Linked DNA regions of Tribolium castaneum. The protein of the gene in region 2 interacts with the protein of the main gene of each other region in a biochemical or structural test. Links are inferred from orthologs where the notes say so. Each region holds a gene or a part of one and is shown on either strand. Other genes may lie near its edges. The genes, in order: Pdhb and muc.

Evidence for each region.
Region 1: the proteins of muc (region 2) and Pdhb form a complex in vitro, tested with the Homo sapiens proteins (2 studies listed by BioGRID and IntAct, with this or other methods). The link is inferred for Tribolium castaneum from reciprocal best matches to the Homo sapiens genes DLAT and PDHB.

Annotation. Positions count from the first base shown.
Region 1 is NC_087400.1:4,921,964-4,928,939, reverse strand, and holds Pdhb (pyruvate dehydrogenase E1 component subunit beta, mitochondrial), read right to left. Parts: upstream 3,977-6,976; 5' UTR 3,734-3,976; intron 3,681-3,733; 5' UTR 3,677-3,680; coding exon 3,397-3,676; intron 3,347-3,396; coding exon 2,927-3,346; intron 2,632-2,926; coding exon 2,249-2,631; 3' UTR 1,987-2,248; downstream 1-1,986. Other genes in the region: Dhod (dihydroorotate dehydrogenase (quinone), mitochondrial), read right to left, coding at 1-542, 590-799, 845-865. UniProt on the Homo sapiens protein: The pyruvate dehydrogenase complex catalyzes the overall conversion of pyruvate to acetyl-CoA and CO(2), and thereby links the glycolytic pathway to the tricarboxylic cycle.
Region 2 is NC_087399.1:3,913,074-3,920,093, reverse strand, and holds muc (dihydrolipoyllysine-residue acetyltransferase component of pyruvate dehydrogenase complex, mitochondrial), read right to left. Parts: upstream 3,074-7,020; 5' UTR 2,856-3,073; intron 2,783-2,855; 5' UTR 2,780-2,782; coding exon 2,661-2,779; intron 2,533-2,660; coding exon 2,175-2,532; intron 2,125-2,174; coding exon 1,562-2,124; intron 1,515-1,561; coding exon 1,215-1,514; intron 1,166-1,214; coding exon 1,036-1,165; 3' UTR 740-1,035; downstream 1-739.

The DNA.
Region 1 (6,976 bases), on a different chromosome or scaffold from region 2:
TCACTGTAGGACAAGTCGGGCGCTAGTTTAAGTAATAGTGGGGGTCTGGCCCCCTCAGGGAGGCTATCACGTGCCTCTTTGGCACTTTTTAATAGATTTTTTAGTACGTTTTTGTCTTGCATTGTCCTTAAGCCGGGCGTGTTAGGACTGCTAACATTGATAACAAGGTAGTCAGCAACTGGCCCTAATTTTTTAATACCAATGACGTAGTCATTGATAGCGTCGTCTGAAGTCTTGTTTTTTCCTAAATTGACCCCTAGTATAGTATCACATTTTTTGGTTTGTCTCAAATTAATAAGTCGGTGTAAAACGGTCTCGTGGCCGTCGCTGTTGAACCCGTATCTGTTTATAACAGCAAGGTCTTCAGACAGGCGGAAAACTCGCGGTTTGTTATTGCCTGGCTGAGGCTGGGGTGTCACTGAACCTATTTCAATGAAACCAAAACCAATGTCTTTCAAACCCATTACCGCTTCGGCGTGTTTGTCAAAACCGGCAGCGATGCCAATTGGGTTTGGGAAAACTTTATTGAAAAGAGTAATTTTCTGTAATTGAGGGCCTAGTGACGACTTACAGTTAAAAAATGACTTACCAAAGACTCGGGGTCTTTGTAATTAGTTGAGGGGACAAGGCGGTATTTACTGACTATAACCCCGAGCCGGTGGGCTTGCTCAGGCTCCAGCAAATGTACTAAAGGCATTACAACGTTTCTGTAAAACTTTTCATTGTTTTTATACAGACTTATAGCCACATATGCCCCTAATCCGCTCGCAGTAACAATATACAATGATCGTAGTTTCCTCTGCAAAATTCTAATAACTAACCCATTCGAGAACGTAACTATTACCTTTAAACTCAAATTCCTCATTTTATTACAAAAATCAGGCGAATTTTCAAAAATAAACAAACCCTAACCTCACTTTAGAAACGTCAAGTTGACAACGTCAAATTGAAGTGGCGGGTTTCCAGAATGGAGCCCCAAAAATCGTGTGGTGACAAAGCCATGAATAATCTCATGGAAAAACTGAGACAACTGCAAAAGAGGGCATCTCCGACTGAACCAAAGAAGGCCGCTTCGACTCGTAAACGAAAGCCAGCCTGCGACAAAAGCCCCAAAATTACTTCGTGGTTGAATAAGGAGAATAAAGGTGAGTCGAAACGGGCGCAGAAGAAGCAGCCAGAACAGCTTGATGTTACCGTGAAGAAGAAGAAGAGTTTGCAAAGGAGTTTTTCGTTTGAAAAGTACGGCGTGTCAGTTCCCTCGTTTGAGAAAATCGTAACAGATCAGAAGAACTTTGATCAATATAGACGCAGTGTTGAACAGCTTGATGTTTTCGATGAAGATATTCTCCAGAAAAATCTGGGCATTGATAGTCTAAAAGAAGATAACTTCATGGAGGAGCTTCTTGATTGTAAACACCTGACTTCCAAGGACTTGAAGAAAGCGTTTGAGAGACACAAAGACACTTTGGACGCAATTATGGAAGGACGCAAATATTCAGATCGCCATCGGGCGTTTCACCAAAGTGGCAACAACATTTCTTCAGCCAAGAGCTTGTTTTGTAGCAACAGTGTTATCGTGTTTAGTGAACAACAGAAGGAAGTACTCCTTGATTTAATGAAATCTGAGTTTGACCAAGAGGATAAAATGGACAGTTACTTCTTCAAAGTGTTGCTGCCGGAATTATGTTTAATAATATTCATGGAAGAACACAAAATGTCCAAAAGAAGCGCAAATGAATATTTAAACAAAAGGCCCTTGGATATTTAGAAGTGCTGTTAATTGTGAATTGTGACTGTTACCTAACCTACGTATTTAATTAAATTTGTTACTTTTGTATTAAAACGTATTTTCTTGAATTGCGCGCCTTTCCTTGTGTCACGTGACACCATTAATCCAGTTCAGACGATGCGCTTTTGCGTAATTTGAAGCGCGCCCGGTTCCCATGAGGAGTTTTTGCGGAAAAGGAAGGGGATAATAACAAGCAATCAGCCTTAATGATTTATTGTCTACAAAAATTTACAACCGTAAAAGTGGCCACATAAGAAAAAATTGGCTTAAAAAATGCAATGTACACTTGATCCAATTAAAACTAGACTATTATTTACAACAGTTTGTACAAGTAAAAATTATAAACTTACCCTTTGATTAATTCAGCCGGACGAGAAATAAATAAATAAATTATAATAACTGTACGTTGGCAATACAGACGACGCTTCAATTTCAAACAAAGGAACATTACTCGAGATTTTACTTAACCTTCAGTAGTTTTTTCGTCATTTCGACTACGTCTTTAGGCACCGGAAGCGCGGCCATTTCTAGACTTTTGGTATATGGCATGGGCGTGTCAACGCCTGTCAGTCTGATCGCTGGTTGGTCTAAGTGGAAAAAGGCCTCGCTTTCCATAATTCTGGCCAAAATCTCGGCCCCGATCCCTGCCGAAGGCCACCCTTGCTCCACCGTAATCAAGTGATTCGTTTTAGCAACGGACGCAGTTATCGTATTGATGTCCAGAGGGCGCAACGATCGCAAATTGATCACTTCTGCTTCAATTCCTTTCGAGGAAAGTTCATTCGCTGCTTGAAGTGACGTTTCAACCGCCCGGGAGTGCGCCACAATCGTTATGTGTTTTCCTAAAAAAAAAAAAATATCGTGAAAACTTAAAATGTTAATGCTATGGCATGAAATTACAAATGGGCGTTACTTTTGGTTCAGTCTGTATAATGTCATTACACCAGATGTCAGTTAAAATTAACTAGACGCCCTCTGGTGACGACATACTGTACTTGCCGAAAACAGTAACGAAATTACTGTTAATTTCTTAAGATTCTGAGAGGGACAGTTTAATACACATTACTTTTAAATTTAATCAATTATTTAATTTTAAATCGAATTGGGGGAAAAAACCTGGGGGCTCTAAGATTTTACCTGGTCGCTCGATTTTCGCTTTGCCTATCGGTAGGACAAAATCGTTGGAAAGGGCCTGATCTGACATGGGGTACTGCACCCCGTACAAAATTTCGTTTTCGAGGAAAACCACGGGGTCAGGGTCCCGAATGGCGGCCTTGAGGAGCCCCTTGCAGTCTTCGGAATTGTAGGGGGAGATGACCTTGAGGCCTGGACAGTGTGCGTACCACGCGCCGTAGCACTGGGAATGTTGGGCGCCAACGCCGGCGGCAGCCCCATTGGGCCCCCGGAAGACAATGGGGACGTTGACGCGGCCCGCGGACATGTAGAAGGTCTTTCCCGCCGAGTTGATGATCTGGTCGATGGCTTGCATGGCGAAGTTGAACGTCATGTACTCGCAGACGGGGCGCAGGCCGGCCATGGCAGCCCCCACGGCGATTCCTGGGGGGCCAAAAATTAGTCCTTTAAACGAATCACTTTTAAGCAACAACCTGTGAACCCCATTTCTGTGATTGGCGTGTCGATGACTCGCTTATCGCCGTATTTCTTCCACAGCCCCCTTGTGACCTTGTAGGCGCCGTCGTACTGCGCCACCTCTTCGCCGATGATGAAAACCCGCTCATCGCGGGTCATTTCCTCGTCTAGGGCTGAATTTAGGGCGTCTCTGACTGTCATTTGTTTGGCAGATGCGATTTTTGACACTGAGAATTGTCTCCGGTGGAGGGCTTTTCCGGCCAAGTTCAAAAGACTAGTGGCTTTGATCGGTGCCATTTTTCTAAGGGTTGATTTTCTTAGTTGAGGGTGAAAATTTCTGATTATTTGACTTACCTGATTTGACAGTCAAGGTGATTAAGGTCGTGAAGGAGAATGAGAGGACCGAATAAACGTCGGTGTTGATTGTTAGGTTATTATCTCTTGAGCATTCGTTATACGTAATCGCACATGTGACGCTATCTTGGAGACATGCTCCTAGCGAGAGATCAAATCTGAGATTTTTGATAAAATTCGGATTTTTGAAGGTTAAGTTTGACAGGTTTCTCAATTTTTTGTAATTGAGGTTGTGGGCACTAGGGAGCAGAACATAACGTTGCAGGCAAACAATTATACACCGGAGGACAGTAAAAATAACCGTACTTTGTATGGCGCCAACATAAAATATTTTTTAAAGAATCTATTCATTCATATTCAATTTATTTTTGAATAAAATTCAAATTTTTCCATTTTTTTAAACAAAAATTAATTAAAAACACACATAATAATAATAATAATAATAATAATAATAATAATAATAATAATTTTTGTAGAAGCTTGAAAAATAATATCATATGTGTTTTCTATGAAGCTTTATATTTTAGTTTAGAGTTGTACCAGAAGCTAATATTTCTAACTTTTTTCAAGCAGTTTATTTTTTGACTCAATATTTTAATATTAAAATACTATTAGTATCCAGTTTGGCATGTTTATAACTATTATTAATAATAATTATTAAAGTAATAAATTACATTGGATAATTACTCCTAGGTCCTAAAAGTTTACAATGGTCTTCACTAATTCTGATTTGATTTTACAGGGTGTTTTACACAATTTTACAAAGTTTGCGTAAAATGACACCAAAAATATTATCCGTTCAGGATTGTTTTAAATTCTCAGAAGGCGTAGATATGTTTTTGTTAGGTTGGCTTCAGGTCCTGTCCTGTACTGTCTTTATGACGTTGTCTTGTCAAAAATTCGCTGTGTTGTCAGTTCTACTGCTTATTAATTTAAAATGTCGCTAATAATTTCTGTTGATAAGAAAGTATGTATCAAAGGATGCTTTGAAGGATGCAAGAAAGACAAACCCGACTTTTTTAACTAATGATAATGAGTAGAATAACAATAAAAACGTATTCAATTATTTATTTAAAAATAAATAAATATTTGTATCTAGTGTTTTGTGACTTGTATATTTGGTTACGTCCATTAAGCGCAGGCCTTGTAAAGTTACGTGAGACACCCTGTATATTAATCAGAGCCAAAAATTAAGTCTTTTGTTTGTCACTGAGCTACAAAAAAAATGTTTATAGATGGTAATTTTTAAAGTTTTTGAATCTGAAGCGATTTTTTAATTGAGTAATTTTTAGTAAAGGAAAAGAGAGCAGGATTTGCTATATTAATACTATAATTCATAATAAAATTTTAGCAAAACTGTGCTAAGACAACGTACAAAACAATCCAATAGTTTTATTTGTTGCATCTTAGGAAACTTCAAAATTATTATTATTATTATTATTATTATTATTATTATTATGATTATTATTATCATTATTATTATTATTATTATTATTATTGAGTTATTCTAAAAAAATATTTTTACTGCGACGATGTTAAATTATTTGTTGAAAAAATTAGGTGGATGGAAATTTTGCAAATTTTTTGAAAATTATTTTTTATTTATTACATTTTTTCAAACTTGCTGTGTACTCCAGTAATTACTCTTTAAAATTTAACTTCGGTATTGCCAACAAAAAGTTATTCTGGCACACTTTTTACTTGGTAATTTCGGTTTAATAAAATCCAAAGCGTCTTCGTTAGTTAAGTATTTTTTTAATTCTTACATTGTTATTAAAAATCGAAGTTATTAATTTTACTGACTAGTTTTAATTTTCGCATTGAATAAAAATTTTGAATGAATCCAAAAAATTAAAAACGACTGGTTCCTCACAATTATTATAATGGCCGACTTTTATGCAATCATATAGAAAAGTATAATTTTTGAATAAATCAAAATGTCTCAAGTGATTGTTTTTTCCCGTAATTATAATGACCGACCACCAACGGCCCAATCAAATTGCTTACAATTATTACAACAAATCATACGTGCTTTACGACAATTCATAAACGTTGAGTGTGTTCTTGTCACTTTGGTCACTTAGTTTTCATTGAACGGCAAAATTGGGACAATTAGAGGAAATAAATAAGGAATATTAAAATAAAGAACTTTTATTATAATTGAAAACGAATGTTCGAAATAAAAAAATTAAAAAATTTTTTTTTTTTGAAAAAACTTTTATTTAAAAGATGCACTAAAAAATAAAAATAATGCTTTTTTCGCTTGGAAATGAAGTAAGTATGCAAAATTTTAATTCATTGGGACAACGGGAACCCTTTCAGATTTGGCTCAAAAAATTTGAAACAGACATACAGACAACAAAGCAAGTTAAATAACAAATAATAATAATAAGTAGGTAAGTTTTTAAAAAATCTAAAATCTTGTACGATTGGAAAAAGGGGCGAAAACCGCTCGCTTCTGCCTATTGTCAAAAACATTATTTTTGATTCGACAAAATGAATTTGCATTTAAATCTGTTTATGTAATTACGACCGTTCACGTAAACAACTACAATGTCACATCGCTCTAAAATCCTCCGACATTGTTTTCGTTGTAAATCGCCAAAATCAATTAAGTATCAACTTTCACACATCATTTCGGAATATTATGCAAATGTAGCGCGACATTGACACGCTTGCGATACTCAAGTATCAATAACCCATTTGCGGGATGGATCTGTAATGGATTGGCACCCTTTTTGCGCGTTTTTCGACGACGCGCGATAACCATAAACTCCCCCACACAAACACACCCTGGTTCTAGAGCGTTTATTTAAAATTATATCCTTACATTTCATAGAAATCTAAACCTCCGTAAAACATGTTGGGGCTAACCGATGTACTTTCATTTCTGCCATCGTTGCGCGAGCTAAAACACCAAAAATTCCGAACAGAATGTCCAAAGAACCTAAACTAAACACGACCATGCATGTGACAGTGAATTAGTCTAAACACGAATAGCAAGTCAGGTCACCTACTGGACACTTTACAGGACAATATCAAAATATGCCGGCTCTGTCAATATAAACGATATTATATTATCACTGATATCACAATGCTCCCTTGACTTTACTAGAGTACGGTTCTGGAGCCAGCGACGAGGCAAGGTATTGCAAAATCTTGTCACTTTGGCAAAGTTATTGTCCGTTTAGACGATTGATTGTCCCGGCGCTGGCTCCTTGCAACATTAAGTCTAAGATATTA
Region 2 (7,020 bases):
CCTCTTTGCGTTCCTGTGATCCTGGTCCGAAGTCCATTTTAAAATTTTGCAAAAAGTTAAAATAAAATTGTGGATTAGGATCACAGGAACGCAAGGAGGTCTTTATATTTTTGACCTCTTCGCATTCCTGTGATCCTGGTCCGAAGTCTGGTTAAAAATTTTGCAAAAATTTAAAAATCAAATGTCTATTAGGATCACAGGAACGCAAAGAGGTCTTTATATTTTTGACCTCCTTGCATTCCTGTGATCCTGGTCCGAAGTCCATTTTAAAATTTTGCAAAAATTTAAAATAAAAATATGAATTAGGATCATATGAACGCAAGGAGGTCTTTACATTTTTTACCTCTTTGCGTTCCTGTGATCCTGGTCCGAAGTCCGTTTAAAAATTTTGCAAAAATTTAAAATAAAAATGTGTATTAGGATCACAGGAACGCGAGGAGGTCTTTATATTTTTGACCTCTTCCCATTTCTGTGATCCTGGTCCGAAGTACGTTTAAAAATTTTGCAAAAATTTAAAATCGAATGTGTATTAGGATCATAGGAACGCAAGGAGGTCTTTACATTTTTTACCTCTTTGCGTTCATGTGATCCTGGTCCGAAGTCCTTTTTCAAAATTAGCAATTTTTAGCGGCTTTTTTAATTAAAAAAGTCTTTTCTTGGAGTTCGACACCAACCAGCATGGCTTATTGTTTGTGTATTTTTTGTTGGGATTTATTTCAGGAATATTAATAAAACAATCCTATGTACAATTAGTTTATTTATACTTAAATACATAAATACACTTGCTCAACAAAAATTACAACTTTTTATATAAACATCAGCAATGAAAGTGTTCGTGATAACACAATGTGGATGATTACCAGCCCCTCGAACTAGACCTGTGGTGCAAGATCCGCTATAAAACTTATCGTAAATGCAAAAATATACAGATGGAAGATTTCTTCTCTACACCAGCAGGCAACACCTCGTCCACCTCGGAAAAACGGCACGAAAATGTATGATGAAAATGACAAATTTAACAAATATTTCAATAATTTAAAGAATCATCGACTCTGGGTCTTCTAAGAACTGGCGCAACCACTTCAACCACTGCGCCCCGACAGCCCCGTCAACGACTCTGTGATCGCTGCTCAACGTCACCGATATGAACTGGGATTCCTTAAATCTGAAAACAAATATAAACACTTGAAACGTCTCAATCCCCAGCTTCTCACCCTTTCTCCGACTCGTCGGGCACTAATCGCTTGGCAGTGGTACCAACTGCTAAAATACAGCTTTGTGGCGGGTTTATAATGGCACAGAATTGATCAACTCCAAACATTCCCAAATTTGAGACACTTATAGTGCCCCCTTGGTACTCCTGCGGCTGGAGCTTCCCGTCGCGCGCTTTCGCCGCCAACGACTTAACTATTTTATTGATATCAAGGACACCCTTCCCGTCTGCTCCAAAGACTATGGGGGTGATCAGGCCACGGTCAGTGGACACAGCCACACTCACGTCCACTGAAGAGTATCTACAAACACTTACCCAATTTTTCCACCAACAAAACGAAAAACTCACTGTCTTATAACAGAGTCCATCCAGGCCGAGTTCGCCTCCGGCACCTTCTTACAAGCCAGCGCCACCGCCTTAATAATAAAATCATTCACACTCAACTTCACCCCCTCCTTTTCAAACTTCTTATTAAACCGACTCCTCAACTTCAACAACTTATCAACATTGCACTCAATGGTGAGATAATAGTGCGGAACGTTTTGCTTGGACTGCACCAACCGCTTGGCGATGGTGCTGCGCATCCCCGACACGGGGATATCAACATAGGGGGCCCCACTGGGAACATTATCTGAACCTGGGGGCGGCGGCGCCGCCGCCGGCGCCCCGGCCGCCATCCCCTCGAGGTCGGCCGAGGTGACGGACCCAAACAGCCCCGTCCCCTTGCCCTGCAACCGGATGTTGCGTTGCTCGGCTAATCGCTTGGCCATTGGACTGACGTAGACACGGTCGCTTGCCGCGGGCGGTGGCACGGGGGAGGCGGGCACCGGGGGCGGCGTCGGCGCGGCGGCGGGGGCCTCCGGCGCCGGGGTCGCCGCTGGCTTGGGGGGCGCGGCGGCGGCGCCATCGTCCTGTTATCATTGGTAAACAAAGTGGTCAAATATTTGGAAAATCGACTGACCTTGAAGTCTTTGAACGCGGCCACGTCGGCCTCATTTTCCACAATAATACAGACTAGTTTGCCGATGGGGACGTCTTTGGTGCCCGCCGGGACGAGGATTTTCGCAAGGTAGCCCTCCTCGGGGGTCTCGAAGCCCATGGTGGCTTTGTCAGTCTCGATTTCGGCCAAGAGGTCGCCTTCGTTCAAGCGGTCGCCCTCCTTCTTGTCCCAGCTGACGATGGTCCCCAGCTCCATGGTCGGGGACAGGGCCGGGAGGAGGACTTTGGTGTGAGGGGGGTATTCGGTTGCGTAACGCCGGAGGGGGTTCACCGAAGGGCCGTGCCATTGCAGCGCCCTGTTTTCTCTCAGGAGAAGCGATCTGCGATTTGCACAACGTTACATGTGATGGGGCCGACGAAGTGAGGTTATGATTATGTAAACTCGTTTAATAAAAATAGATTAATCTGATTATGTAAAAATTTTGTCGCAATCAAGGTATCTCCTTACCTGTGGTTATTCCGCCTTTTTGTGCATTCTACAGTCAGAGTTCTGACAATATTCGACCGGACAACTTTTCTGAGAGCGCCTTTCGCTAACTCACTTCGTACAACAAACGTGCGCAACATCTTCTGTTATAATAAATTAAAAACGTGATAATATCAATTGATTTTCGTGTTCTCCTGAGAGTAGAGGGCGACTTACTCTGGTTTTGTCTCGTCTAGGTCATTTAAAAGACTTTCACGTCGAAAATCTGTGACTGTGACGTGCTGATCACGTTTTTGACGGCGCCGCCGTGAATCGACAACGTCAAGTCTTATCAACCGGTAAATCAAACAAAAAATCACGTTATGACACAAGTAATGATATAACGGATCGTCATTTATCACACAATCGTCACGGCTGATAAAATTCCCAAGATTTGAATGAATTCCAGTCAAAGAATTATTACAAGCCAGGCAACCAACAATACCACAGTTGACTTTATATCCAATTGACAGCGTCAATGTTGGTGAAGATAGCAACAGAAATGGTGCTGACACAATGAAAATTACAGTCGACCAGACAATCGCTCCGCGCATGGAGCTAGCTTTCTACAGCCAAGTTCACACCAGGAAAATTATCAAAATAAATCATTAGAAAAACATCAATAAGCTGTTACGCTGACCTGCATATCACATTTGTAAAACATCTCCTGACCATTCTAATGTGTTTCTATTACAAATTAAAACTTAACAGCATTTAATTTCTGCATTCCAAAAAGTGGAACTGTTTTAATCCATACCCATGCAAAATGATCCGGGGAATCGATTGGCATCAAAAAAATTACCAAATTCCCAATAGTTTTTTAGTTATGAATTTTTTTAAATTTTACCAATTTTTGCATTTATCAGCAATTTCCTCGAAAACTATTAGTCGAAGAACAATAATCTTTTTTGAAAAAAATAGATAATTTAAAGAGCTTTCCAACGATAATACACTTCATGGGGTTATCTCTAATAGTTCCGGAGCTATTGCTCGAGAAATGTTCCGGGTACCCAAAACCGACAAAAACTGCGACGAAAATTGAAAAACTCAAACATCAAAAAATTGAACATATGGACTTTTTGTGGACTTTTAACAGCTTTTGTGGGTTGTTAAGACATGTAGAAGTCCATAAAAATTTTCTGGAGTTAGTTAAAAAAAAAAAATTTTTTTCACCTCTTTGAAGGTGAGTCTTGTATTACTCAGGAAATTTGAGCAAAAAAATTGAAAATTTTAAATTGCGTGAAAAATTAGTTTAATAAAGAAAAAAAGCCGCTGAATCCAATGGGACAAACCGCACTGCTCTACGACTTTTAGTTTTCGAGTTATGAATTTTTTTATTGAAAAAAATTTTTCACTATGACAAATGGCTAGCCTAAATTTAGGCAAAAAATTTTAAATTTTTAATTCTTGTAAAAAATTGATATAATATGTAAAATGAGCCGTAGAATTCAATGGAACAAACCGCACTGCTCTACGACTTTTAGTTTTTTTTTTATGAATTTTTTTAATGAAAAAAATTTTTCACTATGACAAATGGATACCCTAAATTTAGGCAAAAAATTTTAAATTTTTTATTCTTGTGAAAAATTGATATAATATGTAAAATGAGCCGTAGAATTCAATGGAACAAACCGCAATGCTCTACGACTTTTAGTTTTTTTTTAATGAATTTTTTTAGTGAAAAACTTTGATCGTTTCTGTAGCCGAAACCGTTGCCCGGAGCGGCTCCGGGTTTGGTCGAAAAAAAAGACAAAATTAAGCGCTATCAGATGGTTTTTTGTTTGTTGCTTTAAGTCTTACAGTTTCTGAGAAAAACGCAAAAAAAGGTTTCCATTTTCACTTTTTTTCAATTTTCAACCGCCAATTATGGCGAAACTATTAGAGTTATCGAGAAACGGAAAAATGGAAGACAACTGGAATAAAAAACTCTAGAAAATGACATCGAACTCAAGGCGATATCTCGTAAAAAAAATTTCAATTTTCAAACGCCGATTACGGCCAAACTAAAAGAGCTAGAGAAAAACGGTTTGTTCCATCGTAAAGAGCACATCAAAATCTATAAGATAGAATAGGTTTCATTTGATTTTGAGACACTTTAAAAATTGACCGATTTTAAGGGGGGGTGTTAACTTTTTTTTTATTTTTTTTAATTTCTCATTTACGGCTAAACTATTCCAAAAAATGGAACTGTTTTAATCCATACCCCTGCAAAATGATCCGGGGAATCGATTGGCATCAAAAAAATTGCCAAATTCCCAATAGTTTTTTAGTTATAAATTTTTTAAAATTTTACCAATTTTTGCATTTATCAGCAATTTCCTCGAAAACTATTAGTCGGAGAACAATAATCTTTTTTGAAAAAAATAGATAATTTAAAGAGCTTTCCAACGATAATACACTTCATGGGGTTATCTCTAATAGTTCCGGAGCTATTGCTCGAGAAATGTTCCGGGTACCCAAAACCGACAAAAACTGCGACGAAAATTGAAAAAATCAAACATCAAAAAATTGAACATATGGACTTTTTGTGGACTTTTAACAGCTTTTGTGGGTTGTTAAGACATGTAGAAGTCCATAAAAATTTTCAGGAGTTAGTTAAAAAAAAATTTTGTTTCACCTCTTTGAAGGTGAGTCTTGTATTACTCAGGAAATTTGAGCAAAAAAATTGAAAATTTTAAATTGCGTGAAAAACTGATATAATATGTAAAATGAGCCGCTGAATCCAATGGACCAAACCGCACTGCTCTACGACTTTTAGTTTTCGAGTTATGAATTTTTTTATTGAAAAAAATTTTTCACTATGACAAATGGCTACCCTAAATTTAGGCAAAAAATTTTAAATTTTTAATTCTTGTGAAAAATTGATATAATATGTAAAATGAGCCGTAGAATTCAATGGAATAAACCGCACTGCTCTACGACTTTTAGTTTTTTTTTTTATGAATTTTTTTAATGAAAAAAATTTTTCAATATGACAAATGGATACCCTAAATTTAGGCAAAAAATTTTAAATTTTTTATTCTTGTGAAAAATTGATATAATATGTAAAATGAGCCGTAGAATTCAATGGAACCAACCGCAATGCTCTACGACTTTTAGTTTTTTTTTTATGAATTTTTTTAGTGAAAAACTTTGATCGCTTCTGTAGCCGGAACCGTTGCCCGGAGCGGCTCCGGGTTTGGTCGAAAAAATAGACAAAATTAAGCGCTATCAGATGGTTTTTTGTTTGTTGCTCTAAGTCTTACAGTTTCTGAGAAAAACGCAAAAAAAGGTTTCCATTTTCACTTTTTTTCAATTTTCAACCGCCAATTGTGACGAAACTATTAGAGTTATCGAGAAACGGAAAAATGGAGGACAACCGGAATAAAAAACTCTAGAAAATGGCATCGGACTCAAGGCGATATCTCGCAAAAAAATTTTCAATTTTCAAACGCCGATTACGGCCAAACTAAAAGAGCTAGAGAAAAACGGTTTGTTCCATCGTAAAGAGCACATCAAAATCTATAAGATAGAATAGGTTTCATTTGATTTTGAGACACTTTAAAAATTGACCGATTTTAAGGGGGGGGTGTTAACTTTTTTTTAATTTTTTTAATTTTTTTATTTACGGCTAAACTATTGTAAAAAGTGGAACTGTTTTGATCCATACCTATGCAAAATGATCCGGGGAATCGATTGGCATCGAGAAAATTGCCAAATTCCCAATAGTGGTTTAGTTATGAATTTTTTAAAATTTTACCAATTTTTGCATTTATCAGCAATTTCCTCGAAAACTATTAGTCGGAGAACAATAATCTTTTTTGAAAAAAATAAATAATATAAAGAGCTTTCCAACGATAATACACTTCATGGGGTTATCTCTAATAGTTCCGGAGCTATTGCTCGAGAAATGTTCCGGGTACCCAAAACCGACAAAAACTGCGACGAAAATTGAAAAACTCAAACATCAAAAAATTGAACATATGGACTTTTTGTGGACTTTTAACAACTTTTGTGGGTTGTTAAGACATGTAGAAGTCCATAAAAATCTCATGAAAAGTTGGTATAATATAGAAAATGAGCAGCTGAATCCAATGGAACAAACCGCTACGGCTAACCGTTCGAAAGATATCGTCAAAAATATAGTCTCGTTACAAAAATGTCTCAACTAAACTTATGTTATTATCTTTATTTTTTTCACCCCCTTTATATTCCGCAATTTTCTTTATTTCTGTAGGATCATAACGAACGATAATTTTCCTGGTGTGAACTTGGCTGTAGAAAACGAAAATGGTAGAAGGGGAAATGGTACTAGCTCCATGCGCGCAGCAGTTGTCTGGTCGACTGTAAGTTTTGGTGCGAT